Tamandua tetradactyla: one gene and its partner. The protein of the gene in region 2 purifies or fractionates together with the protein of the main gene of each other region. This does not show direct contact. Links are inferred from orthologs where the notes say so. Each region holds a gene or a part of one and is shown on either strand. Other genes may lie near its edges. The genes, in order: TUT1 and SART3.

Region 1 (10,989 bases), on a different chromosome or scaffold from region 2:
CAAGGACACAAATGGACATTTACACACATTTACACACCAATGTTTATAGCAGCATTATTAACAATTACCAAGAGATGGAAACAGCCAAAATGTCCATCAATAGACAGTTGGCTAAACAAACTGGGACATCTACATAAGATGGAATATTATGCAGCTGTAAGACAGAATAAAGTTATGAAGTATGTAACAACATGAATGGACCTTAAGGACATTATGCTGAGGGTGATTAGCCAGAAACAAAGGAAAAAAAATACTCACTGTATGGTCTCACTGATATGAGCTGACATTAGTGAATAAACTTGGAATATTTCCTTGGTAACAGAGACCATCAGGAGATAGAAATAGGGTAAGATATTGGGTAATTGGAGCTGAAGGGATACAGATTGTGCAACAGGACTGAATATAAAAACTCAGAAATGGACAGCTCAATATTACCTAACTGTAATACAATTATGTTAAAACACTGAATGAAGCTGCATATGAGAATGATAGAGGGAGGAGGGCTGGGGCATAAATGAAATCACAAAGAAAGAAAGACGATAAAGATTGAGATGGTGTAATCTAGGAATGCCTAGAGTGTATAATGATAGTGACTAAATGTACAAATTTAAAATATGTTTTTGCATGAGGAAGAACAAAAGAATGTCATTACTGCTGTGTGCTGAAAATAGATGGTACTTAATATTTTAAAATTTCAACTGATGTGTGAGACTAAAGCAAAAAATGTTTATTTGGTACAAATCTATACTTTGACTAGTGCATCTCCTAATATAACTTATGTAAATAGTTGATTGAACACCTTAAGTACATGGAACTTTGTATAGGACATGAGATTTTGTTGGTTTGTCCAGGTGATGCCCTGATGAATCCCAGAGTGATCTGATCAGTGAGTGGAAAAGTATTTGCAAAGTCCCCTTCCGGGAAGGGTGAGAATGGGGGAAAACTCAACTTCCCCAAGTTGAATTCTTGATATTCTCACAAGCAGTGTGGACAACCAAAGCTATAGGCTGAGCCCCCAGTCTTGGGGTTTGTTCATATGAAACTTAACCTCACAGGGGATAGGTCAAGCCTACTTAAAATTAAGCCTAAGAGTCACCCCCAACAGAACCTCTTTTGTTGCTCAGATGTGGCCTCTCTCTGCAGCCAACACAGCAAGCAGACTCACCACCCTCCCCCTGTCTACGTGGGACATGACTACCAGGGTTATGGATCTTCCTGGCAGTGTGGGACAGAAATCCCAGAATGAGCTGAGATTCAGCATCAAGGGATTGAGAAAAACTCTAGAATGAGCTGAGACCCAGCATCAAGGGATTGAGAAAACCTTCTTGACCAAAAGGGGGAACAGTGAAATGAGACAAAGTGTCAATGGCTGAGAGATTCCAAACAGAGTCGAGAGGTTATCCTGGAGGTTATTCTTATGCATTAAGTAGATATCACCTTGTTATCCAAGATGTAACAGAGAGGCTGGAGGGAACTGCCTGAAAATGGAGAGCTGTGTTCCAGTAGCCATGTTTCTTGATGATGATTGTATAATGATATAGCTTTCCCAATGTGACTGTGTGATTGTGAAAACCTTATATCTGATGCTCCTTTTATGTACCTTGTCAGGAAACAAGTAGAACATATGGAACAAAAATAAATAATAGGGTGAACAAATGTTAAAACAGATTTAGTTTGAAATGCTAGTGATCAATGAAAGGGATCAGTAAGGGGTATGGCCTGTAAAATTTTTTTTTTCTGTTTGTTATATTTTTCTGTTGTCTTTTTATTTCTTTTTCTGAATTGATGCTAATGTTCTGGGAAATGATGATGATGATGAATATGCATCTATGTGATGATATTGTGAATTGCTGAGTGTATGTGTTGGGAATGTTTGTTTCTTGTAATTTTTTTAACTCATAAAATTTAAAAATGTAAAAAAAAAAAAAACCAGCATGGTACTGGCATAAAGATAAAGATAAGATATAATGACCAACAGAATCTAATTGAGTGCTCAGAAATAGATCCTCTCATCTATGGACAACTGATCTTTCATAAGACAGTCAAGCCAACCCAAATTGTACAGAGCAGTCTCTTCAATAATTGGTGTCTGGAGAACTGGGTATCCATATGCAAAAGAAGGAAAGAGGATCTATATCTCACACCCTAAATAAAAATTAACTCAAAAATGGATCAAAGATCTAAATATTAGAACTAAGACCACAAAACTTTTAGAAGCATGAGCAATGAAAACAGAAACAGATAATGGGATCTCCTCAAAATTAAACACTTTTTTTTTTTTTGCATGGTCAGGCACCTGGAAACGAACCCCAAAATTAAACTTTTGTGCATCAAAGAACTTTGTCAAGAAAGTGAAAAGGCAGCCTAAGCAATGGAAAACAATATTTGGAAATCAAATATCAGATAAGGGTTTAATATCCGTAATATATAAAGAGATTCTACAACTCAACAACAAAAAAACAAACAATCTAATTTAAAAACGAGCAAGAGGCAAAAATAGACAGTTATCAGAAGAAGAAATACAAATGGCTAGAAGGCATATGAAAAGGCAGGCATTAAAACCCAGGACTACCCAGGCCTGACTTCTTGTTGTATGAAAAAAATTAAATTCACTTGTTTAAGCCACTGAAGTTAGGTTGCTGAATGCAATCTCTAACAAAAGCAGATCCCATCCTAAGACAAGACCTGGGCTGCAAAGGAGACCTGGGTCTCACCTAAGCCACATCTACTTAACCAAAATGCAGACTCAGAACTACAATTTGATCAAAGAGAGCAACATTCCAACAGTAAATCTTTTTCAAGGGATGAAAGGGACAATGACAAAAGGTCTGCATGAATGCAAGACCACAAAGAACAAGTTTGTTTGCTTAGCACTGACCAGAGCAGGATGTTCGGACCAGATAACCTCAGTACCTCTCAGTGTAAAGTAATAAACTGACAACTGATTTACCAACCAGTCTCTTGTGGGGTTAGGATAGGTCCCCAGATGGTATAGTCTTAAAGCACCTGTTTTAATTGTCTCCTTTCTCCTCTAGACTGTAAGCTCTGGGCAAGCAGAAACCATGCCTATCCCAGCTCACTACCCAGAATGCAAGTCTATGCACAGTGCCTAATACAAAGTTGACACAAATAAATATTTGGTGAATAAAAGTTGATTGAATAAATAATGACAAGTCTCCTAATGACTAATTCTGAACTGATAAAACTCCAAGCAGGGGAGGAGTTTGCAAAGCTGGACTAGGGCAAATACTGTGGTATCCCATCAAGGACAAGCCATATGAGAAACCAGCTGAAGCAACTGCTCTCTCGGGTTTCTTTTGGGAAGTAGCACATCAGACTCATTCTTCATTCCCAGAGTCATGCATTCTACCTTGTCTTTGTCCATGACGACACTGGCCACAGGTCCAAATGCCTGGAAGTATTCAGAAAGCTGAGTAGAATCCACATCCCGCGAAAAGCCACTGACAAACACACTCCGAAGTCCCTGGGCTTTTCGGGCAGCTCGTAGTTCTACCAAGTGCCGGTGCTTCCGGCCTCCCAAGTGAGCATCTAGGCTGGGCCCTGCAAAGGCAAGTATGAGACAAAACATCAAATCACTCTTCAGTGTACCTGTTTCTGCTTTTGTTCTCTGCACACCTAAACCTTTACTGACCCTTCAAAGCCACAGAAAGTGTAACTTCTGAATAAAAAAAGTCCTGGTCCCCTTCTTCTTTCATCTTCCTCTCTTGTTCATTTTTCTATATGCTGCACTCTCTAAGTGGTTCTTTGGGGAAGTGGCTACACTATAAATATTTCTTAAAACATCCATAAGTGCTAGGTACAGTGGCACCTAAAAAAATGTATAGCAATTAACAGGCAATTTATCCAGGTCATATAAAGAATTAAATTAATCTGCACTATGGACTATTCCCCATGAATCATTTCTGGGTACTTAGCATGTACTGCTTTTAAGGGCAAGATCTGGAACCAAACTGCCCAAGTTCAAATCCCAGCTCTATAAAGCCATAGAGACTTCAGGCAAGTTACTGAGCCTCTTGTGCCTCAGTTTTCCCAGATATAAAATGGGGATAATAATATACCTACCCACATTGGTACTATTCATATATACAACTGGCAGAGTCAAGTACACAGTAAATGTAGAAAAAGATAGCTTCTATTATTATTTTTATTATATCTAAGTCTGCTCCTTAGTGCCACCAAGGTAGGTATGGAGCCAGGGAAGATTTAATGACTTCTGGGTTTCTGGCTTGCCCTACTGGACAAATAGTAATAGTGTCATCCACACAGAGAGGGAAGAATGGAAGAAGATTCTCTACAGGCAAGATTATGATTCTAGACTTCATCAATAGAATCTGAGGTTTCACTCAACCCCTTTGAAAGTCATGCAAGAACCCTGTCTAGATTTCCAAACTCATCTTCTTGCTTGCTGGTGCTCTACGCTCCAGTCATGCAGAATCTCACAAACATAACCATGCTATTTCACACATCCCTGCTTTCGGCAGCTCCTCTAGAAGGGTTCCCTGACTCCCAATTGCTGCTGTCTCTGTTATCCACAGCTTTCCAGACATTATCTACAGAGTATTGAAACGGTTTCCTTCTCTGGATGCTCAATTCCTTCATCTCTAAATCCCCTCCTTCACCCCAGAACCCAACAAAGTACCAGGCACAGATGACTATTAAATAAATCACTATTAAATAGAAAACAGGGTGGTGCGACGGTGGCTCAGTGGCAGAAATCTCGCCTGCCATACCGGAGACCCGGTTCGATTCCCGGTGCCTGCCCATGCGAAAAAAAAAAGAGAGAGAGAAAGAGAGAAAACAATGGAACTTTCCTCGTGGGGATTTCGGTCGGGAGGTGGCTTTTGACAACGGAGGTGAGTGACTCCAACAACCGACCTGACAGGGACAATGACCTTTAACCCTAACTTTCGCTGGGGCCAAAAGACTAAAGACCCCAGCCACATCCCCTCCCCCTCACTATCCACCCCTTACGGTTAGCTGTGGTAACTTGGCAGAGGCAGCAGCGGAAAGCCCCACGCGGCAGCGACTGGACGTCCGAACCGACCGCCGCCATTGCGCCTCTCACGTACCGACAAAAATCTACCGCTCCTGCCTCCACCGGAACTCACTCCTCCAAATCACAACGCGCTGGAAAACAACTTCCGCCGGTCTGATAGGAAGTGACGTAATCGGCACTCGCTCGGGCACGTTCCCCCCGGAAACCGAGGTCAAGGTTCCGTTTCTTGATTGTACGAAGTCGCCACCGGCTTTAGGAAAAGCCTCCCTTCTGCGATGCTTATCTTGCTTTCGGTAAGCCGATTGGTGTGTTCTGCATGATCAGGCGCTGATTGGTCCGGAGGATCGTGGCTATTGTTAACTCAGCTGCCAAGGCAGGCGCGGGCGGGAGTGGGGACTGGGTCCCCTGCGGCTGCCGGCTCTGCTGCTGCCGGATGGCGGGGCTGCGGTCGTGAGCCGCCGGTCGTGAGCCGCTACTTCAAGGGGCAGTCGCGACCCTCGCGCGGGTGCCCACATCCAGCCCCACATCCACCCCGCGAATAAAGGCGGAGGATGGGCAGCCTCCACGCTTTGGGCCCACGAAGCCTACGGCTCTCCCTGGACTCCCAATCTCGGGGCGTTTACCCTCTCCCTCCGTCCACGGACCTCCCCCCGAAAATGGGTGTGCGGCAGCCGCCTCCTAGTCTCGGGTGGGAGCTCTGTGCGCTTTCCTTCCGGACTCCGGCGATCACTCGCTGCGGCCCGGGTGGGCCAGGCTCGTCCCTGCACCGACTTGCCTTCCGTAGCAGTGACCTCCGCAGTGTATATTCAGGAGGCTGCAGAACCTCCGGCCCACAACAGGGCAGTGCGCAGGAACCAGCTGTGGTAGCAGCCGAACGAGGACAGTAGAGGGGGGATGTGCTGCTGACCCCCAGACTGGCATAGTGTTCACTTCCTCCCCTAACACCTCGGAGGTGTGAGCCAACTCCTCGTGTAGTGGATGAAGGGGACCATTCGATGGGATAAACAGCTTGTGCTGTGGTTACCAGCCCCCACCTTTGGATGGTGGAAAGAGCAGCGGACCTGAGGCAGGCATACTGCGGTCTGTAACTTTGACCAAGTCACAACTGCCACTCCCCATCTCTAAAGGAGTGCCCAAAGCACACACAGACTGACCTTGTCCTCTCTCCTAAAGTATTCTTCCTATTGGGCTTCACCCAAACCTAAAACCGCAGAGGACAGTGGGCCCTCATAGCTAGGCAGTTGCTGAGACCAGCCCTCAAGATCTTGAAGCAGCAGTGTGTGAGAACAGCCGTTACTGGGTAGTAGGATCCTGCGGTACACTCCAGAGTGGACTACATCCCCTGGCCTCTAGCAACTCCCAGAATTCCCTGAGCAGAGAGAAGAGTAAGAATTGGGAAAACAGAGAAAAGACCACGCTCACAACCCCCTCCTGTGGAAGCCACCAGCCGCCCAGAGAGCCAGTTCATCCCAACTGCTTTGAACCTGGGCCAAGATGGTCCATTAGTTCCAGCACCACTGGGAACAGGGGAGCAGTTTGTGTCCTACAAGAAGGCTGGCTGGAGTAGACAGCCTGAGTCCAGTGTGCATAATCTCATAAAGAAGTGGTTCCCAGGGCAAGCCCAATCTGTATCTCCTTTATTGTTCTTTGTCCTTTATTTTCCCACACCCCCCCTCCTGGACCTCCCTCCCTACATCTATGGCAGAGAAGAGCTGAGCCTGGAGGGACTGAAGAAAACAGCTTTTTATTTGTTACTATAAGAACCAATTACAGAATTCCAAGATTAAAAAAAACAGACAAAAGATCTTTATTTCTGAGTTGGTGTACAAAAGGCAGAAGGGGGGAGGGGAGAAGAGGAAAGGAAAGAGTGAGCATGGGCTGGGGTTGATGCCAGTTTAGGGGCCTCAAACTCCAATTAGGAAAGTCCGGACACCGGACACGAAGAGAAACCCCCAATTAGAAAAAAAATAAAAATAAGATAGACATGGCAGCGCATGCCCCCCTCCCCCAACCAGGTACTGCCACCTGATACCTGTTTACTCTTCCCCTCCCCTCCATCCCCTTTCACAAAGGGAGGCAAAATTTTTAAAAAATTAAAAAACCCTCCCCCCAAAACTGTCCAAGACAAACTGTGGGTCCTATCCCCCCAAAAGAGGCCAGGTTCCCCACAAGGGCCAGTTTCCTGCAGACTGCCCTCCATCACCAGGCTTGGAGAAGCATGGGAAGGAGACAAGCTTAGTGGTGGTGACACCAGAGGGCGTCTTTCTCTTCCAGGGACACGCCCACACTTGCTTCCTCCCTTCTTCCTTCCCTCCACACTCTCTTAGATACCAGAGAGAAGGGAGGTTTGAGTGCCCTGAGGACCCACCCTCTACCTTTCAGCCCACTTCCCTTCCCCACAGATGCTCAATCCTCCAGAACAATGGGCTCATTGGTGCTGGCAGGATGTGCAGGTGCAGGTAGAGGCACTTGGGGCCGCACTGCAATCAGCGGAGGCTTCACCTTCAGGGGCAAATTGGGTCGGCGGGCAGCTCTCCGCATTTCCAAGTGGGTCAGGGCCTTCCGCAGAGCCCTGGCCAGAAAGATGAAGACAGGAATACAGAGAGCTTAGAAAGGCTAAGACTCCCCAAGAAGAAACCCCACCCTCCAGTTCTGCCTTCCTGTTCATTCTTTTCTAACACACACACATACACACTCCCCACCCCACACCCACAGTCTTTCTGACGCTGGTCTTGCTGGGTTCTTATTTCCCATACCCACCCACTTGGCTCATCAACCTCTAAGCCCCTCTCATGGTGGGTTCCCTACCTGGTATCTTTTGTGGCCACAAACACCACAGGATTGGGGGCATCAGCTGGGTTAAGTTTCTGGCGCTTGGCTACTGGCTGTGAGCTTGAGCGAATCCCTGAGGCCAGAGGCCTTCCATTGGCAGAGAAGGGGACCCCTGCCATCTGGAAAGGGGTGTGGCAGCACAATGAGGGTGGGGGCCCTCTGAGGCTCCTACCAGAAATAAAAACCCACCCACGTTAGTCTTGGCCAGCCCCAGTCTGCCAACTCACGGTCTCATAGGCTCGTTTCACCATAATGCCTGCCAGGCCCCGGTTCTGGGTCAGCTGGTTCCTGTTGATTGGTGTCTTGGTGCCTCGAGGGGTTTTGGGTTTCAAAGGAGCCTGGGCCACTGCCAGGAAAAAATAAAGGAAAACTTAGAAAACTTTTGCCACCTTCTTTCCCCTATGCAGTTTCCTTTTCTCACCTCCACCTCTTTCCCTGTGGCAGCAATTTTCCCAGGCATTGCCAAAAGGAGTGATAGGGAGGGTCTGGAGAGGTATTACCAGTACTTCAGAGATCAGGACTGCAACCTTATCAAGTCAGTGTGGTAACACTGTATAGCTTACGGGAAACCATTATTAAGCTATAAAAGTACAGTTTGTTAAACTAAATCTTTTAGGATTCAATGGGGGAAAAAAGCAGAGGAGTACTACTTTACTCTTATAGTAAAAGGAGCCAGAGCTTGAGCCCACCCTAACTGGCAGCCCATCCTATACCCAGATCTTTGACGATAGTTGCCAGGGGCAGCCGAACCAGAGGATGAATTTTCAATGGAGTCTTGGCAGCCTTAGGAAGTCGAATGGAACCTAGAACACAAAGATTGAGGCTTCACTATTCAGCTACTTCTGAGACCAGGAGCCATGTCCAATCTCTTAATAAACCTCTAAGACTACAGTCGTTAAACATGCAGAGAAACACTGGTCTCGAGCCAGAAAAACCCCGACCCCGTCACTAGCCCCATCATCCTGCGCTTACACTCTGCCTTGATGGCATTGGCATTGATAGGGGCATAGGGTCTCCGGGCTGCCCTCCTTGGCTGTAACAGGTCCCTGCACATGCGCCTGGCAAGACGGGTCAGCTTTGTGGTTTGGAGCAGGAATGTCTGCCTGTTCTTGGCCAGCAGCTTGGCCCGATTAGCGCTGGTCGTATAGGGGGAGAGACTTTGAGCTTCAGGTCTGGACAAATGACCCCTCGAGTGTGGCTCCTGGGGGAAGGGCATAGGAAAAGGGGAGAATGAAAATCAGCACCGAGACTCCCTTCTTTCTTCCATTCTCTGCAGAGGGTGAATTTATTCTTGCCTCACCTTTTTACTGCCATCCCGAACTACTGGCTCCCTGACCACTATCAGCTCTGCCCCCTTTTCCCTGGCAAGCCATCACTGGATAAAGAAATGGGTATTCTGACCTTCTAAGTCTCATATCATCATGCTTACTCCTCTCCCCTGCCTGTCTGCCATCAATTCTTACTGTGGTGCCCCGAGCAGCCCCCTCAAGCTGGGTTGGGGTCTTCAGTCCCCCATACTTCTTCCAGTAGATCCAACAGGAAGCACAGAGGCGGCACTGCATGTTGGGTGGGCCCCAGGCATACCACTGAGCAGACTGTGTGGCTGCAGAAACATAGAGATGAGTGGGAGGTCAAGGAGGAAAGAGTTCTCAAGCCAAAGCAGGCCTCCCACCCACCCCTGGCATCCGAGTCCTTCCCTTGAACTCACTGTGACAGCTCTCGCAGGTCAAGCCCTTCTGGAATCCGGCCCCATTCATGCCAGGTTTTGAGCCCACAGAGATGATCTGGTTAGGGTTTGGCTTAGTGCTAATAGGAGTGACAGGGGGAAGAAACCAAGAAACTGATCAAGGAAAAGAATTTATTTCTGCCCTGTCTCTAACATTAACATAATCGAACCCTGCCTTCTGCCTGCCCCTATCACCGAGGAAATCACAGTTTGGGCAAAAAGAAGGAAAATATATCCAGTCTCCCCTACCCACCACACTTACTAGGTAGGGATGTAGACCTGTTTCAATTTACTGTCTGCTTCAGCAGCTTTCAATCTTTTCTACAAGAGGTAAAAAGAAAGAAAAGGATCAGCCTTGGCAGGGAAGAAGTCACCAACTTGAAAGGCAGAGTTGAGTGAGAGGCCACTAGTCCAACCTCCCCACCCTAGTTCTTACCTGCTGAATATAGCGGTCTGTGGTTTTCCACATGTAGTAAAACTGGACTATGCTGGCGAGTGACTTCCAGGGTAGCTAAGGACAGAAGGATGAAAGAAGATCTGGCCCCTAGATCCTGGTTCCCTCACCTGTCACCTCTCCTCCTAGACACATCCACTTACAAAGTCCTGGCGAATATCGTTGAAATCCTTCCCATACTTCTCCAGGGCCTCCTCAAATAGCATGGCCTCTGAGGCAGACCATTCCTCCATCTCATCCCGGCACAGCACTGGGCCCCCCTGAGGCACCAGGGTCGACATGGCTTTAGCCAGGTCATAGCCATTCCTCTGCAGTGTATCCATTGCATGAAACTGAAGGGACAGTGGGGAACAATGCTGATGACCCCTGGCACTATTCCCCCGCAGCTACTTAAACTCTCCCACTCCCTTGGAGACACCCTGTGTTCCTGTCCCTAGGCGCTGCAAGTACCCACAGAGCCCAGCCTCCCCAATTACCCGCCATATTTCTGCTCACCAGGGTGATGTCTCGGGAGGCAGCAGCTGCACTCATGTGCAGGCTTGGCTGCCGAATAGAACTGCTGCAATCTAGGGCTCTTGCAAAGGTCCCGACAGCTCTGAGGAAGAGATTTAGAAGTCAGAAGGGAAGGAAGAAGAAAATTTGAGTAGACTTAGGCACTATGCCAAATGAGAAAGAAGGGAAAAACCTATGCCAAAGCAAAAATAACAATATCCCATCTCCAAGAGTGAGACTTAGGGCTATGCCCACACCTCCCCCAGCCCATCAGCCCCATCCACCCACCCCTCACCGGGCCACCACGAGAAACTGATCAATCTGCCGGTCTGTGAGAGGGTTGTCTGGGTCCCAGACCTTCATCTCCATCTTCTGTTGGTTCCGATTATCTGATTCTCCTAGAAAATGAGCCAAGGGCATCATTGGGGAGAGGGAAGGGGAGCATAATTGGTGTTTTATCACTCACAA
Region 2 (10,726 bases):
TGGAGCATACTCCTCTATGTCTCAGCTGCTGAAACCTGGTCCCTCAGGGCCCCAAAGATGAGTACCCTGCAGACTGGCTTTTTGAGAGTTTTAATGATGACTAACCCTGAGAGGTATTAATTTCAGAAAGTTCAGCTCTTCACTGGGTTTGGCCTTCTAGCTCTGCAGTGGGGGGGAAGGGGCTTTGGCAGAGAACAATGGAAAAGACAGTCCAGCCTTTCTTATCTCTACCATTAGGGACTGCTGGCCAGCCACCTGGACAATGATTCTGATTTGTTTTCTTTGCTCCATACCTTGCTGTTTTTTGATTCTTTATTCTCTCTCTTTAACACAGGCTAGTTTGATATTTCATGAATTTTTATAAACCATCTAGAATCCTTCCTGAAACATGGTGGGAGAAAAACAATAAAACAAACCACTACATACATCCTCTGACCTGACTTAGATGTGTAAGAAAAACACACATCTTTGGAACTTTAGAAAAAAACCAAAGACTTCTTTTCAATTCTATTTTGTCAGAAAGAGAGGTGAGGATCTTTTTTTTTTTTAATTAAATTAAAAAACAAACAAATGCCAAAAGCCCCAAACAAAATGATCAAAAACAAAAACAAATAGAAAAAAATCATGGTCACCTTTTTAACTCATTAGACCTTTTAATAACAGCCAAATTTCTGGAGATTATGATTTAATTATATCAAATTTACAAGCAACCTTACTGTTTTCCCTTTCACCCATTCAGTGGCTAACGAGCTGGAGGCAATTGCAGAACCACAGCCAAATGTTTTAAACCTGGCATCTACGATCTTCCCCTTTTCATCCACTTGAATCTAGAAAAAGATAAAGAGTTAAGCAGTGATTCCTGGTGCTGTCCTTCAGAACCTAGGGACCTGGGATTCACTGGGGCTCTCCCCAAAGCTTTGGTCTTGCATTCCACAGTTTAATTTTTGGCATTCAGTTACTGAGCTTGCTTCATTTCAAAGAGCTCAGTGATGGAAAGTTAAACTTAGAAAATACCACAACTACAAGATCAGTTGAAAAATATCTATCCCTTCCACTCTTTTTTTCCCAACCCTAGCCTGCTTTTTTTAGCGATGAAGTCCTATTTGAAAAAATATGCTTGAAGTTGCTGGAGTCAATCTGCTACTTCTTTAAACCCTGGGAGAAGCTGCAATAAAGTTCTCTTGTTGATACTTCTTTTTTCTTGAGCACCAAATTGCATTGGTAGTTCCTTCCTGCCTCGTTTCTGTTTTCTCAGATAGGCATGAAAAACCTCTGGCAAGCTCCCAACCACCATGATGAAATTGTAGATAAAGCTACAATTTACCTAAAGCACCAGCCACCTCATTCATGTTGCCTCTAATCTGGGGAGAGGTATGATTTTTTGCATTTCTTGCCCTATTGGATTGGGGCTTGCTAACCAAATAGTTGTGGTTTTCCTTTGATGAGTAAAATTCAAAAAACTTTTTACATAGCTGCAGCTGAAATTAAGAGTACAAAGGTGAGTTTGGTTTACTATTTCAGAAAAGGTCAGACATACAAACAGAGGAACTAAGATTCAGTCTCTGCTCTAATCATTTATAACATCAACTTGTGCCATCTCGCAGGAATAAAAATGGAGACCAAATGAAACGCTGTGTGTGCAGATGATTTTTAAACTGCAAAGCACTGTAAAAACAAAGGGATTACGTTATTACCTTTAAGGATGAAAACCAGCCATACCTGTAATTTCATTACATCACCGCAAGCTGGAGCCCCCACTAAGCCAGTACCAACATTTTTAGATGTCTTGTCAAGGGACCCCACATTTCTAGGATTTTCATAATGATCAACAACCTGAAATGAGAGGGTTAAGAGAATCATTATCACTCTTTTTCTTTTTGATTATGACATACTTTATGTAACTAATCCCTTGTTCTTTCTTTTAATTGTGAAAAGTAACATATATACAAAAAAGCAATAAATTTCAAAGCACACTGCAACAATTAGTTATAGAATAGATTTTAGAGTTTGGTATGGGTTGAAGTTCCACAGTTTTAAGTTTTTCCTTTTAGCTGCTCTAAGGCATTGGAGACTAAAAGAAATATCAGTATAGTGATTCAGCAGTCTGGCTCACTTAGTAAGTCCTATCTTCTCTGTTATAATTCCACATTCTCCTTTGATCTTTCTCCCAATCTTTAGGGGTATTTGAGCTATGCATATTCTGACTTTTTCATGTTGGAAAGGGCTGTAAATAATGTGGGTTGGGGGATGGAATTAGTTGATGATCTGGAGAGGCTGGCCCCTCTGCTTTCAGGATCATCTGGCCTAGGAACCCATCTGGAGGTTGTAGGTTTCTGGAAAGTAATCATAGTACATGGTACCTTTGTAGAATCTTATATAATGCTTTAGGTGTTCTTTAGGGTGGGCAGGAATGGTTTGGTTGGGGATTGGCAAACTATAATAAATAGCAATATCTAGCTGTGGCTTGGGTAAGAGTAGACTCCAGAGTAGTCTCTTGACTCTATTTGAACTCTCTGAGCCACTGATACCTTATTTGTTACAATTCTTTCCCCCCTTTTGGTCAGGATGGCACTGTTGATCCCATGGTGCTAGGGCCAGGCTCATCCCTGGGGATCACTCTTGATACTGGTCTCCTCGACATGAATTTAAGTTCCAGGAGGTAGGGAATTGAATCTTACTAATCCGTGTTCCCTCAAAGACTGGCACAAGGCCTGCAACCTGGCAGTCAACCTGTAAAAATACCAGTCTACACTCATGTCAACAAGGCTTTATTCATGACCCAAAGTCTTTTCGTATTTCCACTCCTATCTTCAGATTCTGTTTGAGATACTGGAGAAAAATCACCTAAATCATGTCTTGGTTTCATTAAGATTTTGTTTGTTTTGGCATGGGTAGGCACTGGGAATCAAACCCAGGTCTCCAGCATGGCAGGTGAGAACTCTGCCTGTTGAGCCACGGTAACCCACTCTCCATTAAGGTTTTTAATCACAAATGATTACTTCAACTTGTACCCATCCAAGTCATCAATTTAGGTTCAAGCAGCATTTTTGTTATTTCAAAATAAAATCCACTCTTAAAGGATAATGATTACAATTAGAAAATTCTAAAGTAACTATGTTTCAGAAATTGAAGTCCTTTCCAGAAGTTTCCACGTGACTTGTAGACACTCTGAAATCAGGCTGGTTAAACAGTGCACCCTGGTGGCTGAAAAGCTTTTAGCTTTAAATTCACTGAGTGTACTGTCAAAAAACACTGGTGTGTGTGCGGTGTGATAATCCTGAGCTGTGGGCAAATATGCAGAAACCAGACTAAATGTCCATTCAAACTGGCAAACAGAAGGCTTAAATAACGGTTAAGTGTCTTGATCTTCTTGTTTTCTTCCCTCTTCTATCCTTCCACGGATTTTAACATTAAGCCCAAGGACCCACAAAATAATATCTAATTTGGATATTGCCATATGTTGAATGCCAGCAATCTTTGCTTTTTTATCCCAATCCCAAGTGAAAGTCTCATCTCTAAGATACCTTAAACTCCCAGAAGGCAGGGCTGCAAACTTCGCAGCCCCCGGCCCCAAACCCAAAACGTAACAAAAACAAAAACATGATTATTGGTGACACGTCTGACTCCAACAGGAGGCTGTGTGCTCCAAAAAGGCAGAAACCAGTACTTCCATAAGGCCTACCTGAGATAATTTTACTACAACAGCAGCATTAATAGTTTTTATATGTTGAGCCTAAGAGCCAGACACCACACCGAGCACGTCACAAGCATCATCTCTTGTAAGAGGGGACTGCTAAGACCTCTATCTTATGAGTGTGGAAACTGAGGTTCAGCGAGGGGCAGTGACTCGCCCAAGGTCACTTAGCTAGGGCAGTGGTCTGGCTAAAGTGGATCCCTAGCGGTGGGGTGTAGCCCACCCGGGCTGCTGGGAAGTTTAAAGGCGCACTAAACAGCAGTCAGCTGCGAGGCCCACAGGAAGTAGCCGCTATTGTAAGCGTTATTATTTTGGTTTGTATTGCGGTTAGTGTTACTGCGCAGCGAGGAAAAGTTAGTCGAGACAGAAGACGGGAGAGGGGACGACCCCCCCACCGTCCCCTCTCCGTTCCTCACACTTACACTCCCCGGCCGGTGCGGGCCCTGTGCACCCCTTTACTCGTTCCTACCTTCTTGTGATAAAGCCGGGCCGGGGCGGACAGCTCCCGGGCGGGCAGGCGCTTGCTCTGCAGTAGCAAGGCCGACGTAGCCCGTCGTAGACGGCCAGCTCCGGCCGCCGCCATGTTGCGGGGACGCCCCTAACGCAAGCCCACACCGAGTCTGAAGCTGCGAAGCGCGCCGCCTACTTGACTCGGGACTTCGGATCCAAGGACGCGTCGCTTTACGTCCCGGCATCTTCGCGCTTGCGCACTTCCAATCCGCCCAGTCTGTTCTTTGGCTCTACCTTGGCCACGCCCCCCCAAGGGGCGGGGCGGGGCGCGGGAAGGTCTGAAGTTACTATAAGATCTTGTTTTTCGTGTTGGGTTCTGGATGCAGGAACGGGTTTAAGGTTTGAACGCTGTGCCCAAGCTTGAGCTGGCTAAGCTCACCGCTGGAATGCACAGATCACCCGATCCACTTTTCCTAACCTATTTTGCAGCCAAACAAGTTGAGGTTCAGAGAGGTTTAGTAACTCGCTCAAAGAGTTAGGTATACAGTTGGGATTCCAGCAAAGACAGTCCTGGGTTAGAATTCTGGTTCTGCGTCTTCCTGTCTCTGTGACTCTAAGCGAATGATATCAGGTCTTTATGATTTGGTCATCTGTTCTGATTTAAGGGGAATTTTTTCATCCACTCAGCACATACGTGTTGACTACGTACGTTAAGTCTCCATACCAGGCTTTGGGAATGCAACGAAAAGCAAAACATGTTTGCTCAAGACAATAAACAAGGAAACACGTCAATACTTTACTACCTCAAAAATGGGAAGTTTAATTAGAGAAACGAACACCATGCCCTGATTAAAAAAAAGCATGTATACATATATATAATATATAGTCTCCATATAGAAAATAACCGCAAACAACAAAATGTATATGGTAATCCCAGGCAACTGAGTTTCTCAATTAATGCTTGGTATTAACTTTTATTTTAATTAATATTTTAGATGTGCAGAATATGATTTTTTAAAACTAGACTCAGGAGTATTCGCATTACGTAAAGGGGAAGAATCGTTTCGGGCAATGCATTTTTCTCACGAGTAGCGCAGTCTATCCTTCCCGGAGGACGTGGAGTTTTCTCCGCGTTTGGGGCTCGGTTGCTGGGGAGACTAAACAACGAGCCATATCAGACCTTACTTTTAGTAAGGTCTCCGTTCCAAGAATTACTTTGACCTTCTCAAGATGGCGCCACAACCTCATTGCTCCCCCCCCACTTCCTGTCCAAACATCCAACTTCTGTCCGAAGTTGTAACGAAAGTCATGTTATATTAATGAGACTTTTCTGTGATGGGAGCTTTTATAAGTACATAAAAATAGTATTAATTGAGCGTATCTCGAGATTTTTCTGTCACTCGAGGCTCACAGCTTTCCTTTCGATCGCGAGAGAGCAGGGTTTTGGTCAGGCGCACGCCGCGGGCAGCTTCTACTTCCGTCGGTCTTCGGCGGCGGAGCGAAGACCCGAGAATTATCCGAGGCACAAAATGGCGACGGCGGCTGCAACCTCGGCTTCAGAATCGGAGGCTGAGCTCAAGGCTGGGCCCGAGGCTGAGGGAGAGGAGGATGAGGCTAAGGCGACGAGGACGAGGAGGAAGGTGTTATCTCGGGCTGTGGCCGCTGCGACATACAAGACCATGGGGCCAGAGTGGGATCAGCAGGAGGAAGGCGTGAGTGAGAGCGATGGAGACGAGGAATACGCCATGGCTTCCTCAGCCGAGAGCTCCCCCGGGGAGTACGAGTGGGAGTACGACGAAGAGGAGGAGAAGAACCAGCTGGAAATCGAGCGGCTGGAGGAGCAGGTGTGCTCGGGGGTGGGCAGCGGGCTCTTTCCCTCAGGTACCCGGGTCCGGGCTCGCCCCTCGTCCGACTGCGCTTGCTCGGGTACCTCTCCCGTCCGCAGCAGTAATGCCCCCAAGGCCGCAGTAACTCTTTTTCAGTCACCGTAGCGCCATCGTTTGAGCATTACCTGCGTGTGGGGCGCTTTCTAAGCGTATTCCATTAAATCCTAACAACGACCCAGTGAAGGAAATAGTGTATTCTCGTTTTAACTGGAGGAAACTGAGGCTTGTGGAGGGAAGTCTCTTGCTCAAGATTTCATGTCCTACAGGTGGCCAGTCAGGCTTTGAACGCTGAACCAACACCAGAACTCTCATTCTTAACCACACAGTTAAATTGCGTTCAACAGCAACAATAAATCTCATTTGTAAGAGAGAATAATTTTCCTGTAGGAAGGACAGCATTAATGAAATATGATGTAGTAGGAAAAATATTCACGGTAATCATGACAACAGAAATGGGAAGGTAGAAGTTTTGGCTCTCAAGGCTAAAGGCGCCAGTTCCGGCTATCATTTGGGCGATTTTCTTAAATTCTCTGAGTCTTTGCTTCCTGAATTGTAAATAGGGAGTGGCAATTTCTGTATCTTAGCATTGCCATGACAGTTATGATAGCCGAGTGCCTGGCAGCCAATGTCAACCAGATTGCTAATTTCTGAAGAGTCTTGGGAGGTGTAGGTGGTATTATCTCCTGTATAAATCAAGTCTCAGCAGGAAATAGATGGTACACTCAAGTTAGGATAATTTGAGGAAAGGTTGATAAAGGGACGGTTGCATTTATAAAAGTGTGGACCGGGAAATCAGGAGCAAAGTTTAGTACCATTTAATAATAGGAGGACTTTGTTTCCACCTTTAGACTTGAAGGGGCAAGGGGAGTGACATGTAGAAGAGATGGGTAGAGAGGGAACCTGAGAGGATTTGAGACCTTTGGTCAAGAGATGCAGCCTCAGTTTCCCGGCAGGAGTTGGGGTAGGGGAAGAAATACCCTGGCCTCCTTCTCCCTTGTCTCTCTCTCTCCTCCCTGTGAAAGTCTGCTGGGTGCTTCCTGCTGGGCAAACTCACCTGATTATTAGAGGGCTAGGGAATCTGTTAATGTGGTCAGCACAGGGCAGGGCAGAGGAGAGGGTGGATGAATTTGGAGGAAGAAACAGAAGAGATAGAGCACATTTCATTTTACTGATGAGGAAACAGAGGCTCAGAACAAATGATAAAGTGAGTTACTATTCAGAAGCTTTCAAAGTAGCCTCTGGATCAAATGCAACACTAGATGTGAAATCTCTCTGTGATATGAAGATTATTAACCTAGATTACTCATTTAATCTTATGGAGTGTAAGGTTAATGATAATTTTCCCTCTGGCATTGATATTTTTATGTTATGAAACAGTGATATTCTTTGGTTATCTTCTTCCACTTATCATTGCATCTCATTGTCAAAGGAACCAACCAGAGGTTAGAAGGCAGTTAACAATTTTCCTTTTTATAAATAAATATGCTGCAGTTTATTCAGTCTTTTATTCATTCAGCAAATACAGTGTGATTCTGGGTGCTAGGCTGACTGTTTCCCTGCCTACATTGAAATAATTTCTTCAAACTTCTAGTTCTGGGCCTTTTGATGAGCCAGCTCACTTTGACCTTACTGTTACATGAGGATCACCTGTTTTAGTAGGAAGGGAAGGCTTGGAATGGATATGAAGCCCTTGATCGTGCACAGTTTTACTAATGGGGAGGAGGGGTCAGAGTGAAGGTATGCTGGCAGTGGATGCTGTGCAGTTGCCTGCCTGACTTATATCTTTAGTTCACCTAGGTTGGTATGGAGCTTAGAAAGTGTCCACACAGTATGCGACCTTGTAAGTGATAGTGAGCTAAGGGTCTTTGGCCTTATCCTCTTTATCTTGGGCTTTAAAAATTTATTTTTCCAATATTTGCATACCTCCTTCCCACATCATTGTAATCCCACAGCCTCTAGTTCCTCCTGTAACTGCCCTTATAGTAGAGCATAATGACAAGTAACTTCCAAATAGGGCGGTGCAGATCTTGGCCTTGCCACATCTGCGTATTCCAGTTTTCGTTCTTGAGTTTATTTTATGCAGGCTTGTGATTTGCTGTGATATCTGTTCATGTAACAAAAACAAAGACTTTATATTAGTTGTGTTTTTGGGCTGAAACTAAAAGTAGCACCTCCTCGTGCCTTAAGCACATTTGTCAGTGTACCATGGTGCAGCACAAAGAGTATAGCTTTGCAAACTATACTCAAATCAGGTGATCCACTTACTAGTCAGAAGACCTTGGACAAGTTATTTCAAGTCTCTGAGCCTATTTTATCCCAGTTGGTAAAAAGGAGATTGTAGTAATGCCTCTCACAGGGCTTTAATGGGGGTTAAGTGACACAATGCATGTAAAATTGCCCAGTTTGGCTCTGCTATGCATAGTAGCTGCTATACAAAGGTTGGTTCCATTCTCTTTTCTCTGCTCTTCCTGTGGTTGCACCAGTTGTTTTCTTTCTACCACGCCTCTCATTTTTCTCCACGCTCATTCTAGGTTCAGATCAGTACTTTTCACACTGCTAGGAAGTTAGGACATCAGTGGATCATTTTGTACATTGGCTAAGCCCCCTCTTTAAAGCCTCCTTTGTCATTACTGGTATTCTGTGAGGCCAGCTAGACTAAAATGTGTATTCGTTTGTTAATACTGACTGAAATTTGTAGAAATGTCTTTTTAAATTGCATTTCAGTATGCATTTATTATTTTTATTTTGGGGTGCATGGTCCAGGAATTGAACCTGGGTCTGTCTCCTGCATGAAAGGCAAGCCATTCTACCACTGAACCTCCCATGTACCCTGTATGCTTTTAATAGATGTACTTTTAGAACACCTCTCCATGTGAAGTATCTTCATTATTTTAACCTCAGGAATGTATTTATTTGTTTAACATTTTTATTGCCAAATCTTCACACACATACAGTCTATACATGGTGTATGATCAGTGGCTCACAGTATCATCACATAATTGTGTATTCATCACCATGATCATTTTTAGAACATCTGCATCACCCCAGAAAAAGAAGAAAAAAGAAAAAACTCATATATCCCATACCCCTTACCCCCTCCCTCTCATTGACCACTAGTGTTTCAGTCTCTCCAATTTATTTTACCCCTCATCCCCCCTATTATTTGTTTATTTTTTACCCATCTGTTCATACTCTGGATAAAACTTTCATAATCACACAGTTGCATTTGAAAAGTTACATCTTTATACAATTGTATAAATTTGTCTTTATGCTCTTCTAGTGTTTTCTTGATATCCTTTGTCTCTTTAGCCAACTCATTGAAGTTATTTAGGTTTGCTTGAGTATCTTTGATTTGTTACTCCAAGTTCTGAATCACCTCTGACTTTTTAATTTGAGCATATTTTTTAATTTGACCAAATTCATATGGTTTTAATTTGATCAAATTCATATGGTTTGTGATTTTTTTTGTTAGCTTCTTGGCTTTGATTATCTTGATAAGGTTACTTTGAAAGTTGGTATGTTAGTCAGGGTTCTCTAGAGAAACAGAAGGAGCAGGAGAGATCTGTAAATAAGAAATTTATGAAGGTATCTCACTCAACCATGAGAATGGAAGGATCCAAAATCTGTAAGGCAGACTGTGAAGCTGGCAGCTCCAGTGAAGGGTCTAGATGCACTCCACAGGAGAGACTTGCTGGCTGAAGAAGCAGTTAAAGTGTCTCTCTTCTTCCTTAAAAGCCTTTTATTAATTGGAGTATCGATTGAGGGAGACACGCCGTAGTTGATTGCAGATACACCAGCCTTCCAGTTTATCAACCATACTGGACCTCATCATTTGACTGATTTGACACCAGGACCTAACCATCACAGTTGGTTTTCCTCACTCATCTAGTGTTTTGTTTTTGCTTGGATTTGTGTTGTCCGTCATTCCCAGCCAAACCAAGGCCAGTGCCTAACTTGGAGTGAAATCCTTTTTAGAAGACTGTTGGACAGTGGACAGATTGCCAGACTGTACTTTCTCAGTCTTCCGAGAAGATGGCGCTCTTGGGCCACCTCTTCCCCACAACTGTGCCTCTTCCTCACTGTGGCATCTGGCTGGGCATGGTCCAGACCAGTCAAGGCCGCAGGTTCCTGGGTGTGCTGGAAGCCACCTCCTCTGGGTGTGGGGTCTGGGAGTGGGCACTGTGCACCACGATGAAGACTACAGCTTGTAGGTGCAATGGATCTGGTGATTCCCAGATTCCTATGTGGAAAGACTCCAGGCTGCGGGACTGAGAGGTTGAACTTCATCAGCCAGCCCAGGAGTGTTCTGCTTTCTGCCGGCCAGCAAGACCATCTCAGATGTGGGGGAAGGGTGCCTGGCATTGCCATGCAGCCCTCTTGCCCCCACCTCTCTGCCCATGTATGCAGTGAGCACCCTAAGCCCCTGGGTAGCTAAGATCGAGGCAGTGGGACCCAGAGTGTACCAGCCAATTGTCAGATCAGTTCTGCTCTGAGTTCCCCTCTTCCGAGGGTAGGGCTTCCCAGACTCCCCCAAGTCCAGGTGCCTCAGTGACCTGCCTCAGGGATGGGGGTAGGCACTGAGCACCACATTGGGGTCTCTGTGTGGATAAAATGAGTCTCGTGGGAACGCTATGCTGGATTACTGAGAGGATTGCCTCCCCCTCCTCTCTGAAGTAGGGGTGTGCTGTATTTCAGC

Evidence for each region.
Region 1: the proteins of SART3 (region 2) and TUT1 purify together in Homo sapiens (co-immunoprecipitation; 4 studies listed by BioGRID and IntAct, counting the BioPlex papers as one, with this or other methods). This does not show direct contact. The link is inferred for Tamandua tetradactyla from reciprocal best matches to the Homo sapiens genes SART3 and TUT1.

Annotation. Positions count from the first base shown.
Region 1 is NC_135335.1:11,967,126-11,978,114, reverse strand, and holds the start of TUT1 (speckle targeted PIP5K1A-regulated poly(A) polymerase), read right to left. Parts: upstream 5,432-10,989; 5' UTR 5,075-5,431; coding exon 4,993-5,074; exon of another isoform or gene 4,979-4,992; intron 3,562-4,978; coding exon 3,371-3,561; intron 1-3,370. Other genes in the region: metastasis-associated protein MTA2, read right to left, coding at 7,424-7,589, 7,826-7,968, 8,077-8,195, 8,563-8,652, 8,822-9,050, 9,313-9,452, 9,558-9,655, 9,838-9,896 and 4 more. UniProt on the Homo sapiens protein: Poly(A) polymerase that creates the 3'-poly(A) tail of specific pre-mRNAs. Localizes to nuclear speckles together with PIP5K1A and mediates polyadenylation of a select set of mRNAs, such as HMOX1.
Region 2 is NC_135331.1:22,829,152-22,839,877, forward strand, and holds the start of SART3 (spliceosome associated factor 3, U4/U6 recycling protein), read left to right. Parts: upstream 1-5,644; 5' UTR 5,645-5,673; coding exon 5,674-5,988; intron 5,989-10,726. Other genes in the region: iron-sulfur cluster assembly enzyme ISCU, read right to left, coding at 717-827, 1,720-1,833, 4,164-4,277. UniProt on the Homo sapiens protein: U6 snRNP-binding protein that functions as a recycling factor of the splicing machinery. Promotes the initial reassembly of U4 and U6 snRNPs following their ejection from the spliceosome during its maturation.